Saccharomyces cerevisiae S288C: one gene and its partners. The protein of the gene in region 1 interacts with the protein of each later gene in a biochemical or structural test. Each region holds a gene or a part of one and is shown in the gene's direction. Other genes may lie near its edges. The genes, in order: SUP45, MTQ2, SUP35 and ITT1.

Evidence for each region.
Region 2: of the proteins of SUP45 (region 1) and MTQ2, one has a biochemical effect on the other in vitro, tested with the Saccharomyces cerevisiae proteins (one study listed by BioGRID).
Region 3: the proteins of SUP45 (region 1) and SUP35 form a complex in vitro, tested with the Saccharomyces cerevisiae proteins (6 studies listed by BioGRID, with this or other methods).
Region 4: the proteins of SUP45 (region 1) and ITT1 form a complex in vitro, tested with the Saccharomyces cerevisiae proteins (one study listed by BioGRID).

The regions. Positions count from the first base shown.
Region 1 is NC_001134.8:529,064-533,951, reverse strand, and holds SUP45 (translation termination factor eRF1), read left to right. Parts: upstream 1-1,769; coding exon 1,770-3,083; downstream 3,084-4,888. Other genes in the region: alcohol dehydrogenase ADH5, read right to left, coding at 1-190; YBR144C (uncharacterized protein), read left to right, coding at 403-717; MAK5 (ATP-dependent RNA helicase), read right to left, coding at 3,314-4,888. UniProt on the Saccharomyces cerevisiae protein: Component of the eRF1-eRF3-GTP ternary complex, a ternary complex that mediates translation termination in response to the termination codons. The eRF1-eRF3-GTP complex binds to a stop codon in the ribosomal A-site.
Region 2 is NC_001136.10:731,829-735,810, forward strand, and holds MTQ2 (S-adenosylmethionine-dependent methyltransferase), read left to right. Parts: upstream 1-2,309; coding exon 2,310-2,975; downstream 2,976-3,982. Other genes in the region: HPR1 (Hpr1p), read left to right, coding at 1-1,008; NEDD8 family protein RUB1, read right to left, coding at 1,790-1,874, 1,948-2,096; DOP1 (Dop1p), read right to left, coding at 3,073-3,982.
Region 3 is NC_001136.10:805,691-811,265, forward strand, and holds SUP35 (translation termination factor GTPase eRF3), read left to right. Parts: upstream 1-2,633; coding exon 2,634-4,691; downstream 4,692-5,575. Other genes in the region: heat shock protein HSP42, read left to right, coding at 931-2,058; ARG82 (inositol polyphosphate multikinase), read right to left, coding at 4,875-5,575. UniProt on the Saccharomyces cerevisiae protein: GTPase component of the eRF1-eRF3-GTP ternary complex, a ternary complex that mediates translation termination in response to the termination codons UAA, UAG and UGA.
Region 4 is NC_001145.3:135,020-139,976, forward strand, and holds ITT1 (RBR-type E3 ubiquitin transferase), read left to right. Parts: upstream 1-2,530; coding exon 2,531-3,925; downstream 3,926-4,957. Other genes in the region: DAK1 (dihydroxyacetone kinase), read left to right, coding at 1-210; FACT complex subunit POB3, read left to right, coding at 481-2,139; ERV41 (Erv41p), read right to left, coding at 4,044-4,957. UniProt on the Saccharomyces cerevisiae protein: E3 ubiquitin-protein ligase involved in translation quality control. Involved in the rescue of stalled ribosomes by promoting ubiquitination and degradation of proteins on stalled ribosomes.

The DNA.
Region 1 (4,888 bases):
ATTTCAATTGAAATGGCCAATCACCGTGCCACGCGTGCAAGTCACTATGACAAACACCAGAATATTTAACGTGGACTAAAATTTCGTTAGGCTTAGGTTCCGGAACTGTGACGTCTTTATATTCCAATTTTCCATCTGTCTCATAAAAGACAATAGCCTTTTGTTTTTCAGGAATGACTTGCGAAGGCATGATGCTTTGATTTTGTAGATATGTAGTTAAATAATTTTCTTAGGTATCTTCCAATCAGAGACATTGTGAGACAGTAAAGCAGTAGTTTGCGCTAGAAATATCTTGTAGTCCCTCTTTTATATTCGTAGTATGTTATATAGATTACAATCTAGACAATACGAAGGAACGATCCCGCGTCAGCAGATGTCACAATTTGATTATTTCATTGTCACATGCTTTTTGACTCATCCTTCCGCGAAAGGAGAACTTTTTACAATGCCGCCGGCTCTGTTAGCGTACCCTTCTACAAGCAGATAGCAGAACAAACACATGATATATTCAAAAGGTGCAATGTCAGAGAACATATATTGCGCCCCTGTCCTGTAGACATCAGTCATTTTTCGCGGGACTTGAATGGCGCACCATTATCCTATACAGAAAACATTAAATTTACTGCAAAATTTTGGGCAAACGCTTGGATAGACTATGAATCCGTCATGAAGACACTACTTGTAAAATTATATATATCCTTTTTTTTCATGTGCTAGTAAGAATTAGCAACTACTTTCATTCATCTTCGACGCAACTTCGAGGAAAGCACCTTTTTACTTGCTGTAGCTCTATTCTCTTCCCCAACCACCTTTTCCTTTATTCCAAAATTTTTAAAACTTTTTCTGTTACATTATATAATCTTCTGTCTGAAATGTTTGGATATAACGCCTCTTGATCCACTTTGTATATGCGTGCTATTTATTTTCAGATTTATAAAGAGTATGAGCGTCATTTACATAAATAGCTGAAGTTATTCATGGAAAATACGAAGAGCACGTATGTGAGCCAACAGAACATTTGACGTAAGACTCTACAATGTGCCAAGAACTGGACAAGTAGAGGACTGAGAACTTTATTTCAATTCATTGCTCCTTTTTGGTGGCGCTACCTTTAGCGAAGGTCAATGATGAATGTGCACATGCTGTCGAAACCAAAAAGCAAATTCTAACCAACTTCAAAATGACATAGTCATCTGATATTTCTACTCATTATAGATAGTATGGGAGCCTTGAAACGAAAAGTAAGTAAAAAGCTGGATATGAGCAGTATGAGGTAGACCTTAGCTACATCATTTCCCCCAATAGCTGCTGCAAATATCTGGTTAAATTTGTGATTCCATGAAGAGGATAACAGACTTGTTAAAAAGCATCCTGTCAAAATCTAATTTTTGAAGGGCAGTATTCAATTCATAATTTACTTTAGCTTAGATCCTTCCAATTTATACATGGTATTATAACCAGATCATAAACTACAATCTGTCGCTACCGCATGTACGAAGAATACTTAAGTCACTTGCTCTCTCATCATTTGTACATTTTTCAGTAATACCGTTTGATAGCGCCGTCTTTATTACCCGGATTATTCCGTTGACCCTGAATGAAAAATTTTTTCAGAAATCCAGTGCTAAGCGTCAAATCAATGAAATACATCACTGTATTTTTAACTGATATACTGTTGGTGTGGCCTTAACGACACCTTTATTTCTTAATTCATTTCGGCTTGTCTCCTTATTAAGACTACAGAAATAGACAAAGGAAATACTTCAATAATGGATAACGAGGTTGAAAAAAATATTGAGATCTGGAAGGTCAAGAAGTTGGTCCAATCTTTAGAAAAAGCTAGAGGTAATGGTACTTCTATGATTTCCTTAGTTATTCCTCCTAAGGGTCAAATTCCACTGTACCAAAAAATGTTAACAGATGAATATGGTACTGCCTCGAATATTAAATCTAGGGTTAATCGTCTTTCCGTTTTATCTGCTATCACTTCCACCCAACAAAAGTTGAAGCTATATAATACTTTGCCCAAGAACGGTTTAGTTTTATATTGTGGTGATATCATCACTGAAGATGGTAAAGAAAAAAAGGTCACTTTTGACATCGAACCTTACAAACCTATCAACACATCCTTATATTTGTGTGATAACAAATTTCATACAGAAGTTCTTTCGGAATTGCTTCAAGCTGACGACAAGTTCGGTTTTATAGTCATGGACGGTCAAGGTACTTTGTTTGGTTCTGTGTCCGGTAATACGAGAACTGTTTTACATAAATTTACTGTCGATCTGCCAAAAAAGCATGGTAGAGGTGGTCAATCTGCGCTTCGTTTTGCTCGTTTAAGAGAAGAAAAAAGACATAATTATGTGAGAAAGGTCGCCGAAGTTGCTGTTCAAAATTTTATTACTAATGACAAAGTCAATGTTAAGGGTTTAATTTTAGCTGGTTCTGCTGACTTTAAGACCGATTTGGCTAAATCTGAATTATTCGATCCAAGACTAGCATGTAAGGTTATTTCCATCGTGGATGTTTCTTATGGTGGTGAAAACGGTTTCAACCAGGCTATCGAACTTTCTGCCGAAGCGTTGGCCAATGTCAAGTATGTTCAAGAAAAGAAATTATTGGAGGCATATTTTGACGAAATTTCCCAGGACACTGGTAAATTCTGTTATGGTATAGATGATACTTTAAAGGCATTGGATTTAGGTGCAGTCGAAAAATTAATTGTTTTCGAAAATTTGGAAACTATCAGATATACATTTAAAGATGCCGAGGATAATGAGGTTATAAAATTCGCTGAACCAGAAGCCAAGGACAAGTCGTTTGCTATTGACAAAGCTACCGGCCAAGAAATGGACGTTGTCTCCGAAGAACCTTTAATTGAATGGCTAGCAGCTAACTACAAAAACTTCGGTGCTACCTTGGAATTCATCACAGACAAATCTTCAGAAGGTGCCCAATTTGTCACAGGTTTTGGTGGTATTGGTGCCATGCTGCGTTACAAAGTTAATTTTGAACAACTAGTTGATGAATCTGAGGATGAATATTATGACGAAGATGAAGGATCCGACTATGATTTCATTTAAATAAATAAAAGGGGGAGAAAAAAATCGAATCAAAAAGAATTTAATCACTAGATGCCAGATTTAAATTAAATTCGCTTTTAATTTTTTGTACAATATAATATATACTTGGTAAACCTTTTGCTCTATATTGAGCTAATTCCTTTGTTGAAAGTACATAGTGGGTTTAGAGGACCGTGTATATTACGTAGAAAATACAGTGAAAGGAGAGTTTCTCTTCAAAAGCCTCGAGATTAATTATTTCTCTTTTTCTTTTTCTTCAAAGTTTCTAAGGCGTTTGTCTTTTCATGACCAATGATAGAATTATGACCTCTTTTTTTGACCAAGTTATCAGCTAAATTCACTAGCCCACCTGTCAAATATTTCTGTCTTCTATCTTTACGTATAGGCACTGATAACAATTCGTTCAACGTAGCTCTCATGGCTTTTACCTTGTCCTTATTTATAGTCTTCTGCATTTTTTTATTTTTATTTTTTAGTAAGAAAGTGTCCGAATTACTCTTTGATATATCGTCTTCGTCGGAATCAACGTCAATACCTAATTCATCAGCAGCCTTTTTTAACCAATTGTCATCTTTTCTTAGGGAATTAGAAGCAATTTCATGATCAGCCAGTTCGCCTGCTAATCTACTTCTTTCTCTGAGTTGTGAAAGTATATCGGTTTCAATTGGTAACAAAGGCACAGTGTTTTGCCACTTGATGGGTTTTCTGTTAGTTGATCTAGAGTTCAAATCCGTCGAAACACTATTTTTTGTAGCGAGAGTTTTTCTTAACTTTCTTAATGGGCCCATAGATTCTTGAGGTGAGCATATCATGGCAGAGACACCTTCAGAACCTGCTCTTGCAGTTCTGCCTGATCTATGAATATAAATATCAGTAGATCTTGGTAAGTGGTAATGAATAACGTGTTGAACACCCGGAATATCTAAACCTCTAGCAGCAACATCACTTGCAATCAATACTGTTGAGAGTTGAACGGAATCCGGATTCGAATGATTTATTGTTTTCTGTTTAGCGCTTTGTTGCTTGAACCTTTCTAAGCTTTTCAAACGGTTCTTTTGTGTCATGGAAGAATGAATTTGAAAAGCTGGGATGCCTAGGTTATTTAAGTATACGGTCAATTTCTTCACGGAGTCAATGGCATTACAAAAGATCAAAGTTGTACCTGGGAACATGGTTAAAAAGTAATAGCAGTATAGGTCACGTTCTAATGGAGGACATTCAATTAAGGATTCTTTGATTTGAGAGCTCACTTTTGACTCAGGATTTGTATCTATTATAACCGGCTTTGAGTTGAAGTGAATTTTGCTCATTAAGTGTTGTATTACGGCATTTAGCTCATCTTCGTTGTTTTTAAACCTTCTATCCTTAACTTGACGGGAAGAAGATAGCTTATCAAACAAGTCGATGGAGAATGTTGCAGAAAAGATCAAAGTTTGCCAAATTTTGCTACTGCCCTCGGAGTTTTCTCTGTTTTTCCTTCTTTCTACTAATAAATGTTTAATGATTTTTTCGAACTCGTCGAAATGACCGTCTTGTAACAGCCTATCAGCCTCATCAAGGATTAGCGTATTTACTTTCGAGAATCTTTTGATTAAAGTGTTGTCTTTTTCCAACAGTTCCAAAAATCTACCTGGTGTTGCGATGACAATTTGGCCACTATTATCGTACTTTAATAGACGTTGTTGTTTTTGGATAGAGAGTCCACCTGTCAAAGATAATATCGAGTACTGAGATTTCGCTAGAACAGGCTCACAGATCTTTTTTAAGTGGTCTGTGACTTGATGCGCCAGTTCTCTTGTAGGAGT
Region 2 (3,982 bases), on another chromosome or scaffold:
ACGAGGAATTTCTATAAAAGCTGCTATTTGAGGGAAAACCCGTTGAGCGATATTGATTTTGAGAACCTTGATGAAGTTAACAAAAAGCGTGGGCTCAATTTATGTTCATACATTTGCGACAATCGTGTTTTGAAATTTTATAAAATTAAAGACCCTGACTTTTATCGTGTTATCCGCAAATTAATGTCTTCTGACGAAAAGTTTACAACCGCCAAGATCGATGGCTTTAAAGAATTCCAAAACTTCAGAATATCTAAGGAGAAGATACCGCCACCCGCTTTTGACGAAACTTTTAAAAAGTTTACGTTCATCAAGATGGGGAATAAATTGATTAATAATGTTTGGAAAATACCTACTGGTCTAGATAAAATTGAGCAAGAAGTAAAGAAGCCTGAAGGTGTCTATGAAGCAGCCCAAGCGAAATGGGAATCAAAAATTTCTTCTGAAACTTCCGGTGGAGAAGCGAAAGATGAAATAATCAGACAATGGCAAACTTTACGGTTTCTAAGATCGCGATACTTGTTCGATTTTGATAAAGTTAACGAAAAGACTGGTGTTGATGGTTTGTTCGAGGAACCCAGAAAAGTGGAAGCGTTGGATGATAGTTTCAAAGAGAAACTTTTGTACAAAATCAATCAAGAGCACAGGAAAAAACTTCAGGATGCTAGGGAGTACAAGATTGGAAAGGAAAGAAAGAAGAGGGCACTGGAAGAAGAGGCTTCGTTTCCTGAAAGAGAGCAAAAAATTAAGTCGCAACGTATAAACAGCGCTTCTCAAACAGAAGGAGATGAGTTGAAGAGCGAACAGACGCAACCAAAGGGAGAAATATCAGAAGAGAATACCAAAATAAAAAGCTCGGAAGTTTCTTCGCAAGATCCTGACAGTGGTGTTGCCGGGGAGTTTGCTCCACAGAATACAACAGCTCAACTAGAAAATCCAAAAACAGAAGATAACAATGCAGCTACTTCGAACATTTCTAATGGTTCATCTACCCAAGATATGAAATAAATTATCCTCTTAATAGAAATTTTAAACTGATAAGAAATTCATGCATAGTGTCCCAAACAATTCAGATAGATTTTAGCGTACCACAGAGATCCTATCAGAGAGTAATACTTATGATGAAAACAAAAGTCAATCCATTCGGTTTAAAAAAATGACAAACCTATATTTGATTAGATTAATCAGGCGTCAATAACGTCCTTAGAAGTCCCTTTGCTAAGACTGATATCGTTGGCAAAAGCATGCTCCGAGTTTAGTATATACTTCCACTTGATAAAGTTGTAGCGCAAAGGATGCTTTTCTTAATGAGAAATTCGGTATACTACAAGAGGACATCCAATCGTGCTTACAAAATTGCCCTGGAAGACATGATTGAGAAGAAATGGCGAAATATGTCTTTTGGTCAGATAGTCTGTAATCGCATATAACAGTATGCTTGGTTTGCTCTTTATCACCACGCTTTTCCTCTCTTTCCAGCGCGAACCATGCAATGGCCAGCTTTATGAAATTTAAACCATAAAGTCATATGAGACCAGCAATCAGACCATATATAGCCGTACTATGCTATAACGGATAATTTGATAGATACTAAACAGTTTTAGTTCACATTTCTCGTCTAAAAACAATTAATTTATTATAACAGACTCTATAGACTAAATTGTATGTATTTTTTTTTTTGACAAATTGGGGGCGGTAGCCTTCCAAAGTCCAAGTGAACTTATGTTCGTTTTGTCTTCTTTTCTAATGAACACCTTCGATAAAATTCCATAAATGACGGAAAATGGTTCTAGTTACCACCTCTTAGTGTTAATACCAAGTGGAGTTGCATTCCCTCTACTAGATGTGCATCCGTTACTGTTAATTTATCATCACTATCCTGGTCGTTAGTAAGGTCTCAAAAACGTAAATAAACTTAAAAGATAATTAACCACTGAATGAACATACATTTGTTTTCCCTGGAATATAAGTCTTTGTTGAGATGGTGGAATCCCTTCTTTTTCCTCCAAAAGTTCCTTGATGTGATATACGAGATCTGATTCCTTCAGCTCAACAGAGATCTCCTTCCCAGTCAGTGTCTTCACTTTAACAATCATCGGTTACGGCTGTAAGGAAGTTAATTACCTTCCTTTATTTATTCCTCTGTCGGAATACTTCATTTGAATAACAGAATTTTGGTTTTTCAGCTAAAAGTTGTTCGTTTGCCTTCCCGAAGACGCCATCGGAATTTGATTTCATATAAATATTGATATAATTATACTCTGAAATATAATATTGATAAACTTAACACAGGGTGAGAAAGGTGAAGTATGCTACCGACCCCTTATGTAAAATGCGATTACGATAAAGTATATGAGCCTGCTGAGGATAGCTTCCTCATACTGGACTGTTTGGAAAAAGAGCATGATTTTTTGAAACAGAAATTTGGTAATCGTTTGGCCATCGTTTGCGAAATTGGTTCGGGATCAGGTATCGTCACAACATTTCTAATGCAAAACAAAATAATACCGCAGGAAAATTCCATCCACTTAGCTGTTGATATCAACCCATGGGCGCTCGAAGCAACTTTGGATACTGCGAAGTTAAATTCATGTAAAAGTTCTTTTTTAGAAGTGATTCAAGCTGATTTAAACTCCAGTATTCGGAATAATCAGGTTGATGTCCTAATATTTAACCCACCATATGTGCCAGCAGAATGTGTGCCAGATGTCCCAGGATCAAGAGAGGAGGCAGACCAATGGCTAGATTTAGCGTTATTGGGTGGAAAAGACGGGATGGCGATTACTGATAAACTGCTACGACAATTAGAACAAATTCTTTCTCCAGATGGTGTTGCATATATATTATTTTGTGCAAGAAATAAGCCTAAAGAAGTCATTAAGAGGTTTGTCGATACTTACAAATGGAATGTGAAACTTATTGAAACGAGAAAAGCGGGATGGGAAGTCCTCAGTGTGTACAGCTTTACAAGGTGACAGTTGCAAAACCTTTCACGTTATAATTGATAACCTGTGTCTTTACTCAAAGCGTATAACTATATTTCGGTTTATAAAGAAAAATTCATAGCTATGCTCATGACAGAATATCTTTTTTGAGATCTTCACCACAACCATATAAATCAACTGACCCTAGTCCGTAAACTTTCTCATAATGTAGATAACTCAAATTCTGGAAGAAGCTTCTTAGTTGCGTGTGTCTCTCGATTTTGTGAATGCCTCGTAATAATGGGAGACCATCTTTTAAAGTTGTCGGTAATTCAAGATCATCAGTTTTGGTTATTTCGTAATCTTTGAATTCTGCGATTTCATCTACCAGCGCGACGAATGAGTTCGTTTTATATACGCAATTTATTGTATCAATAACAAAGATCCACTCATTCGTAGAGGTGAAGCCTTCCATGTTGAGTAAGAGTAGCAAATCCAAAGTTTTACATACTTGCAATATTGTTTGTGGATCGACTTCTGACTGTATTTGAAGTGATTCATAAAATTCTTGCAAATTAGTTTGTAAACAGTAACTGATCATAGACCAATAGTCATTGAAATGGGACTCTGAAAATCTTAAAAGTAAAACCCTTAGTAAGATCCAGCAGCTTCCCTTGAGCTTGATATCTTTGGACACCAAATAGTGGAAAATGCAACTTATTAAAGAGGAAAAGTGCAACAAATATGCGTCATTTGGCGATACCATCAACAAGTACGATATTTTCAAAAGGTTTTGGCACTTGTACTCGACTTCAGAATCGCTTCCTAAGTTAAACGTGATTAAAGTCGGAGTCACACTTGAACGCTTGGAGCCAATTTCTAATAGTAAATCGTTCAAGATTTTTGACTTATTTTCTGGATAAATGGACCATTCGTAAATAATCTTTTCCCAAGTTTGATCGCTGCCAATTACCGAAAGTTTTTTGTCATTTTGGAACAATTCCGCAATTAAAAGCCTCCAACTTTTAACTTTTGAACCTAAATGGGATACGACCGCG
Region 3 (5,575 bases), on another chromosome or scaffold:
ACCAACATATATAAACAGTAGTATTTTACGAAGCTGAATTGCAAGATTAGTGAGAGGAGAATAACCGGATAATTTTTTTGGATTACGTTATTGTTAAAGGCTATAATATTAGGTGAAACAGAATGTCCTAGAAGTTTTTTTCTTTCATGTTAAATTTATTGATTCTTGCGCTTCAGCTTTTATAAAACATAAGAACTGTTTCTTCACGTTAACTTCTTGTGCCACATATAATGATGTACTAGTAATATGGGTACTATTTGGCAGATGATATTTGATTTTTATTCAAGACGGTTACTGTTTCTACGATTGATATTTTCATTCCTGGATATCATCTTGCCAGATCACTTACAATTTAGGCCGCGCCTGAATTGAAGAGTACTTCAATACGTAGTGTACTGTCCAAACTCTCTTCCAAATTTTTAATATTTAGCTGGGGTTGGGTAACAAGTGAGCAAGGGAAAAAGTGAACATTTTAAGAAGAACAATAAAATAGCAAGAGATGGAATGGTAATGCTTGGCTCTCGAGAAGAGTAGCATAAAACGAGACTTGTTTAAAACAGGATATGACATACTTCAATTCAGCTTTCCCTATCAGCCGCTCGAGCAGTTATATAGGTGTGTTGCCGGAGTAATTTGGCGGAGGCCAACAGTGGCTAGGCGGCAACGCCTGGAACACGCGCTTAAAAGTTCTGGAAGGTTCGCGAATTGAGAACTGCTCAGGGGCGAATACAGGGGCGGCCTTGGCGGCAGGGGGGAGGCCTCTGTGAAGTTAGTTATATAAGACTTGCTGTCATCGTTTTTTTGATCCCGGCAGGAACTATCTTTTATTCTCATACATACGGTCAAGAAGTATAATTATACATAACATAGGGACACGTTCAGGCAATTGTCCATATCCCACACAAATTAAGATCATACCAAGCCGAAGCAATGAGTTTTTATCAACCATCCCTATCTCTTTATGACGTTTTGAACGCATTATCCAACCAAACTGGCCAGAGAGGGCAGCAAGGATATCCTCGCCAACCACAAAGGCCACAGAGATACCATCCCCATTATGGACAAGTGCACGTTGGCGGGCATCATCCTCGTCATCATCCATTGTATAGCAGATACAATGGTGTTCCTAATACCTATTACTACCAGTTCCCTGGACAAGCCTATTACTATAGTCCTGAATACGGTTATGATGACGAGGATGGTGAAGAAGAGGACCAAGACGAAGATATGGTGGGTGACAGCGGCACTACAAGACAGGAAGATGGTGGCGAGGACAGCAACTCGAGAAGATATCCATCATATTACCATTGTAATACTGCCAGGAATAATAGGACCAACCAACAGGCAAACAGTTTAAACGACTTATTAACCGCGTTAATAGGTGTTCCACCATATGAAGGCACTGAACCAGAAATTGAAGCAAATACCGAACAGGAGGGCGAAAAGGGAGAAGAAAAGGATAAGAAGGATAAGTCTGAAGCACCCAAAGAGGAAGCTGGCGAAACCAACAAAGAAAAACCTTTGAATCAGCTGGAGGAATCGTCGAGACCACCATTAGCCAAAAAATCTTCATCGTTCGCTCACCTACAAGCGCCTTCCCCAATACCTGACCCGTTACAAGTATCCAAGCCTGAAACGAGAATGGACTTACCATTTTCACCAGAAGTGAATGTCTATGATACCGAGGACACTTACGTAGTTGTTCTTGCGTTACCAGGTGCTAACTCTAGGGCTTTCCACATTGATTACCATCCATCTTCTCATGAGATGCTCATCAAGGGTAAGATCGAAGACAGAGTGGGCATTGATGAAAAATTCTTGAAGATCACGGAACTAAAATATGGTGCGTTTGAGAGAACCGTTAAATTCCCCGTGCTGCCACGCATTAAGGACGAAGAAATTAAAGCTACTTACAACAACGGTCTACTACAAATTAAGGTGCCTAAAATTGTCAATGACACTGAAAAGCCGAAGCCAAAAAAGAGGATCGCCATTGAGGAAATACCCGACGAAGAATTGGAGTTTGAAGAAAATCCCAACCCTACGGTAGAAAATTGAATATCGTATCTGTTTATACACACATACATACATTTATATTTATAATAAGCGTTAAAATTTCGGCAGAATATCTGTCAACCACACAAAAATCATACAACGAATGGTATATGCTTCATTTCTTTGTTTCGCATTAGCTGCGCTATTTGACTCAAATTATTATTTTTTACTAAGACGACGCGTCACAGTGTTCGAGTCTGTGTCATTTCTTTTGTAATTCTCTTAAACCACTTCATAAAGTTGTGAAGTTCATAGCAAAATTCTTCCGCAAAAAGATGAATCTTAGTTCTCAGCCCACCAAAAGAGGTACATGCTAAGATCATACAGAAGTTATTGTCACTTCTTACCTTGCTCTTAAATGTACATTACAACCGGGTATTATATCTTACATCATCGTATAATATGATCTTTCTTTATGGAGAAAATTTTTTTTTCACTCGACCAAAGCTCCCATTGCTTCTGAAGAGTGTAGTGTATATTGGTACATCTTCTCTTGAAAGACTCCATTGTACTGTAACAAAAAGCGGTTTCTTCATCGACTTGCTCGGAATAACATCTATATCTGCCCACTAGCAACAATGTCGGATTCAAACCAAGGCAACAATCAGCAAAACTACCAGCAATACAGCCAGAACGGTAACCAACAACAAGGTAACAACAGATACCAAGGTTATCAAGCTTACAATGCTCAAGCCCAACCTGCAGGTGGGTACTACCAAAATTACCAAGGTTATTCTGGGTACCAACAAGGTGGCTATCAACAGTACAATCCCGACGCCGGTTACCAGCAACAGTATAATCCTCAAGGAGGCTATCAACAGTACAATCCTCAAGGCGGTTATCAGCAGCAATTCAATCCACAAGGTGGCCGTGGAAATTACAAAAACTTCAACTACAATAACAATTTGCAAGGATATCAAGCTGGTTTCCAACCACAGTCTCAAGGTATGTCTTTGAACGACTTTCAAAAGCAACAAAAGCAGGCCGCTCCCAAACCAAAGAAGACTTTGAAGCTTGTCTCCAGTTCCGGTATCAAGTTGGCCAATGCTACCAAGAAGGTTGGCACAAAACCTGCCGAATCTGATAAGAAAGAGGAAGAGAAGTCTGCTGAAACCAAAGAACCAACTAAAGAGCCAACAAAGGTCGAAGAACCAGTTAAAAAGGAGGAGAAACCAGTCCAGACTGAAGAAAAGACGGAGGAAAAATCGGAACTTCCAAAGGTAGAAGACCTTAAAATCTCTGAATCAACACATAATACCAACAATGCCAATGTTACCAGTGCTGATGCCTTGATCAAGGAACAGGAAGAAGAAGTGGATGACGAAGTTGTTAACGATATGTTTGGTGGTAAAGATCACGTTTCTTTAATTTTCATGGGTCATGTTGATGCCGGTAAATCTACTATGGGTGGTAATCTACTATACTTGACTGGCTCTGTGGATAAGAGAACTATTGAGAAATATGAAAGAGAAGCCAAGGATGCAGGCAGACAAGGTTGGTACTTGTCATGGGTCATGGATACCAACAAAGAAGAAAGAAATGATGGTAAGACTATCGAAGTTGGTAAGGCCTACTTTGAAACTGAAAAAAGGCGTTATACCATATTGGATGCTCCTGGTCATAAAATGTACGTTTCCGAGATGATCGGTGGTGCTTCTCAAGCTGATGTTGGTGTTTTGGTCATTTCCGCCAGAAAGGGTGAGTACGAAACCGGTTTTGAGAGAGGTGGTCAAACTCGTGAACACGCCCTATTGGCCAAGACCCAAGGTGTTAATAAGATGGTTGTCGTCGTAAATAAGATGGATGACCCAACCGTTAACTGGTCTAAGGAACGTTACGACCAATGTGTGAGTAATGTCAGCAATTTCTTGAGAGCAATTGGTTACAACATTAAGACAGACGTTGTATTTATGCCAGTATCCGGCTACAGTGGTGCAAATTTGAAAGATCACGTAGATCCAAAAGAATGCCCATGGTACACCGGCCCAACTCTGTTAGAATATCTGGATACAATGAACCACGTCGACCGTCACATCAATGCTCCATTCATGTTGCCTATTGCCGCTAAGATGAAGGATCTAGGTACCATCGTTGAAGGTAAAATTGAATCCGGTCATATCAAAAAGGGTCAATCCACCCTACTGATGCCTAACAAAACCGCTGTGGAAATTCAAAATATTTACAACGAAACTGAAAATGAAGTTGATATGGCTATGTGTGGTGAGCAAGTTAAACTAAGAATCAAAGGTGTTGAAGAAGAAGACATTTCACCAGGTTTTGTACTAACATCGCCAAAGAACCCTATCAAGAGTGTTACCAAGTTTGTAGCTCAAATTGCTATTGTAGAATTAAAATCTATCATAGCAGCCGGTTTTTCATGTGTTATGCATGTTCATACAGCAATTGAAGAGGTACATATTGTTAAGTTATTGCACAAATTAGAAAAGGGTACCAACCGTAAGTCAAAGAAACCACCTGCTTTTGCTAAGAAGGGTATGAAGGTCATCGCTGTTTTAGAAACTGAAGCTCCAGTTTGTGTGGAAACTTACCAAGATTACCCTCAATTAGGTAGATTCACTTTGAGAGATCAAGGTACCACAATAGCAATTGGTAAAATTGTTAAAATTGCCGAGTAAATTTCTTGCAAACATAAGTAAATGCAAACACAATAATACCGATCATAAAGCATTTTCTTCTATATTAAAAAACAAGGTTTAATAAAGCTGTTATATATATATATATATATATAGACGTATAATTAGTTTAGTTCTTTTTGTACCATATACCATAAACAAGGTAAACTTCACCTCTCAATATATCTAGAATTTCATAAAAATATCTAGCAAGGTTTCAACTCCTTCAATCACGTTTTCATCATAACCCTTCCCCGGCGTTATTTCAGAATGTGCAAAATCTATTAGTGACATGGAACTCAAAGAACCAGTTGTTTTTTTGTCCTTTGGTCCTTCGCTGCTTCCCTCGGCATCATCATCATCATCATCATCATTATCATCATCGTCGTCATCATCGTCTATAAAATCATCTCGCATAAGTTTGTCAACATCATTTAGTAATTCCCATCGCTCCGGGTCTCCTTCGTAAATAAACAAAAGACTACTTGATATCATTCTAACTTCTTCTTCTAGCATAGTATTATAAAACAACTGCAATCTTTTCAAAAATGTTTTCTTCAGTTGATGCTTTCTCGCATCCGACAGATGAGGATTGTTAAAATAAAGTTCAATTGCATCTGAAACATTTTGATCGGTTCTTGAACGACCATACAATTTGTTTATAAAGATATAATCACTGTCTGCTTCTTCTTCGTAATATTCGAGCGAAAGCTGATTCAGCACAGAGGGATTTTTCTGTATTTTCATGCCACATATCCTGAAACCCAAAGATCCTGAAGTCGTCGTCTCACTGACTCTTTTCATTCTCTCTCTTTTTTCCAATGATGCCTTCGAATCATACAAAGTTTTGCCTAATTTTATATCAAGTATATTAGGTTTACTAAATC
Region 4 (4,957 bases), on another chromosome or scaffold:
ATTGATGCTTTAGAACCATTCGTTAAAGAATTTACTGCATCTAAGGATTTCAATAAGGCGGTAAAAGCTGCAGAGGAAGGTGCTAAATCCACTGCTACATTCGAGGCCAAATTTGGCAGAGCTTCGTATGTCGGCGATTCATCTCAAGTAGAAGATCCTGGTGCAGTAGGCCTATGTGAGTTTTTGAAGGGGGTTCAAAGCGCCTTGTAAGTACTTGGCTCACGAATACATATCAAGATACTTATGATATATATATATAGAAAAAGCTTACTTTTCTTGGAGTTATTGTTATTATCATCGCGAAGAACGATTGTATAACCCGGTTCAACGCGAAACGAATCGTTAAACTGGTGAAATGTTAACGCGAGTGTCAGAGATATACATAGTATGAGAGTAGCTAGATGTTGAATCGGTGGTAAGAACAAGAAGGAAATACCGTTAACAAGTGAAGGAACAATCTAGTATTGTTGAACAAGAATTATGAGTACCGACTTTGATAGAATTTACTTGAACCAATCTAAATTTAGCGGTAGATTCCGTATTGCTGATTCTGGGTTAGGGTGGAAAATTAGTACCAGTGGTGGCTCTGCAGCAAATCAGGCAAGAAAACCATTTTTATTACCAGCCACAGAATTATCTACCGTCCAATGGAGTAGGGGCTGCAGGGGTTACGACTTGAAGATAAATACCAAAAATCAAGGTGTTATCCAACTAGATGGATTTTCTCAGGATGACTATAACTTAATCAAGAATGATTTCCATCGCCGTTTTAATATTCAGGTAGAGCAAAGAGAACATTCCTTACGTGGTTGGAACTGGGGTAAGACAGACCTTGCCAGGAATGAAATGGTTTTTGCTTTAAATGGTAAACCAACTTTTGAAATTCCTTATGCTAGAATAAATAATACAAATTTGACCTCTAAAAATGAAGTAGGAATAGAATTTAATATTCAAGATGAAGAGTACCAACCAGCCGGTGACGAATTGGTAGAGATGAGGTTCTATATTCCTGGTGTTATTCAAACAAACGTCGATGAAAACATGACCAAAAAGGAAGAGTCAAGCAACGAGGTCGTACCAAAGAAAGAAGATGGTGCTGAAGGAGAAGATGTACAAATGGCAGTAGAGGAAAAGAGTATGGCAGAAGCATTCTATGAAGAACTAAAGGAAAAGGCAGACATCGGGGAAGTCGCTGGTGATGCAATAGTTTCCTTCCAAGACGTCTTTTTTACCACGCCAAGAGGTCGTTATGATATCGATATTTACAAGAACTCCATTAGACTCAGGGGTAAGACCTATGAATACAAATTGCAACATCGTCAAATACAAAGAATTGTTTCGTTACCAAAGGCAGATGATATCCATCACTTATTGGTTTTGGCAATTGAACCTCCTTTACGTCAAGGACAGACCACCTACCCCTTTCTTGTCTTACAATTTCAGAAAGATGAGGAAACAGAAGTGCAATTGAATCTAGAAGATGAAGATTATGAGGAAAATTATAAGGATAAATTGAAAAAACAATATGATGCTAAAACTCATATAGTTTTAAGTCATGTATTAAAAGGTCTGACTGACCGTAGAGTCATTGTTCCTGGAGAATATAAATCCAAATATGATCAGTGTGCAGTTTCATGTTCTTTCAAAGCAAACGAAGGTTATTTGTATCCATTAGATAACGCTTTCTTCTTTTTAACTAAGCCAACTTTGTACATACCATTCAGTGATGTTAGCATGGTAAACATTTCAAGAGCAGGACAAACTTCTACGTCATCGAGGACGTTTGATTTGGAAGTGGTACTGCGTTCAAATAGAGGTTCTACCACTTTTGCCAACATCAGTAAGGAAGAGCAGCAATTATTGGAACAATTCCTAAAGTCTAAAAACCTAAGGGTGAAGAATGAAGATAGAGAGGTACAAGAAAGGTTACAAACCGCTTTAGGTTCAGACAGTGACGAAGAGGATATTAATATGGGTTCCGCTGGTGAAGATGATGAATCAGTAGATGAGGATTTTCAGGTCAGCTCTGATAATGACGCAGACGAAGTTGCAGAAGAGTTTGATTCAGATGCGGCTTTAAGTGATGCTGAGGGGGGTAGCGACGAAGAAAGGCCTTCGAAGAAGCCTAAGGTAGAATAGTAATAATTTTAGACTGTATAAGTTAAATTTATTGATATTGTGTAAAAACTAACTAATATATTTTGCCAATTGATATTATCATGACATGGTGAGTGTAAGACACCACCTCTTAATTACTGGTGTTATTCTATACATTTATTTGAAATTGGTTTTGTTTTGCAAAATATTTATGTTTTGTTAATCTCCTCTACCCTTTCAATGCTTGAAAAATACTTTCAACTTTTCGATTGGGTGATGAAAAAAAGACAAATAGTGTAAAGGGTTCAAAAATAAATAACAAGCAAGAGAAAGGGACTTTGCTTTTCTCATTTAGTCACCAGTAAGTTATGTCATGGTGTAGAATAACGAATTACAGAAAACTAATATAACTGATGAAAGACCAGGGAGTAAAATGGCTTTGACTCAGTTTGAAAATGATTTGGAAATATTAAGAGATATGTACCCAGAACTGGAAATGAAATCGGTAAAAGTAGAGGAGGAAGGTGAATTCCCTCAAAGAATTAACGGAAAGTTACTGTTCAAGATATCACTATTGGCCGATGTAAATATTGAGTTCGGCGAGCAACATATGTTACTTTCAAACTTATCTAATGAATGCGTGGAGTTCACCATATATAGCTGTCATTATCCGGACATTCGACGGTGTGTTGTTATGGATATCAAATCCTTATGGATATCAACAGATGAAAAGAAGATGTTAATTGACAAAGCGCTGAGACTCGTTGAAGAAACTGTAGATATGAGTATTGAGTTCGCGGATTCGTTTACCTCCATCCTTATCCTCATCTTTGGGTTTCTTATAGATGATACAGCTATATTACTATTCCCTAATGGAATAAGAAAGTGCCTGACACAGGATCAGTATGACTTGTTTAAGCAGATAAGTGAGGAAGCCACCCTCCAAAAAGTGAGCAGATCTAACTACCATTGTTGTATTTGTATGGAAATGGAAAAGGGTGTTAGAATGATCAAATTGCCATGTGAAAATGCGAATGTAGAACACTATCTTTGCAGAGGATGCGCCAAATCTTATTTCACTGCAATGATTCAGGAAAACCGAATATCCAGTGTAAGATGTCCACAATGCGAATACAAAGAATTAAAACTAGAAGATTTCAAGAGCTATAAAAAAATGCTGAAGGCATTGTTTACACCTTTGATTCCAGTGTCCTTCTTAAAAGAGGTTATCGATACAGAGCTATGTGAAAGATACGAAAAAATGTTCTACAACCAGGCGGCTACAAGACTCTCAAAATATTGTCCGTATGCTTGTGTGACTTGTCGAAGATGTGATAGTTGGTGCACAAAAGAAGACCTCGATGATGCGATGATTCAGTGTCAAAAATGTCATTTTGTATTTTGCTTTGACTGCTTGCATGCCTGGCATGGTTACAACAATAAATGTGGCAAGAAAGTTTCGTTATCGACCGATATTATTGAGGAATATCTAGATGATACCGTTACTTCATATGAGAGAAAGCGGAAACTGGAGGCAAAATATGGGAGAAGAGTATTAGAACTTGAAGTCAATGATTACCTTGCTGAAAAAATGTTAGATTTAGCGATTAAAAAAGAGGGTTCGAATTTGCAGCGATGTCCAAAGTGTAAGGTAGTTGTAGAAAGAAGTGAAGGTTGCAATAAAATGAAATGCGAAGTATGCGGGACGCTGTTCTGTTTTATATGCGGAGTATTACTTTATCCTGAGGACCCTTATGAACATTTTAGAGAAGCATATTCAGGCTGTTATGGACGATTGTTTGAAGGTATGCCTGGCACAGAAACTTGAGTGCGATCGCTCTGCCTTCAGTCTCACACTTTTTCTTATAATCTATTGTCATGAAATTTATACAGATGAAAATGAAACGTTATCTTGGGTATACTGCATTCTCTTTTCTTTTACATATCTACCTATCTAAAATACCCTTAGTTTTATCATCTGGCTGATAACGCAAGGACCACTTAGGTCCCATGATGGTGATAAGAGCCATATCCAGTAGTGTGAAAATCCACGAAGCACAGTAGACCAAAAATGAGCAGATTGCCACTAATCTGACCAAAAACTGTATAAAGCTTAAACGAACATCAGAAACTACTATGGATAATGGTTCGAAATTGTATTTGAAGAAGATGCCCGGCATTTTATCACCTTTAGCAGCGACATCTTTGTACAAATAGCGGTAATCGTTAACAGAATATTGATTAGTATCCACTTCTGCCCCCAATTTCTTGAAAAGAGTGGGCACAACAGATGTGTAATAGACGTAAGTAGTTAAAGGTTCATCCTGATTAAACTGTGCAGTGTTATCCAATGGGTTATCAATATATGGATAGAAATCACCAAAAGAGAACTCATTAATAACATGATTAAATTTTAATTCTTCCAGTGGTGCTTTGCGTGAAGCCACGTAACCTAAACTCTTCGCTGTAATCTGCAATTCGCCACTAACTCTATTTACCGGAATGGACCCAAATACATGGCACCCATTGAATTCCGGAAGATGTGCCTTGTTAGGATCACTTTCATCAAAAAATGACCTAGTATCTAGTTTTTCTCTAAATTCTGCTGGGATAGCTTCCCCTAAGATTTCATCCAATTCCGGCGTAATAATTTCATTGATATCATTGACTTTTGTGTCATAAGGAATAAAGAATGGCATCTCTTCCAATTGCAATTCCTCTAATACAAGTTTCCGATCCATTGTTTGGTCTCTGACGTTGATTTGCAACCAATCACATTTCGTGTTGACGTATATATCCATATTAATTTGAACGGTATCTCTAACTTGACTGTCCACTACGTACTGCTGGTCAATATAAC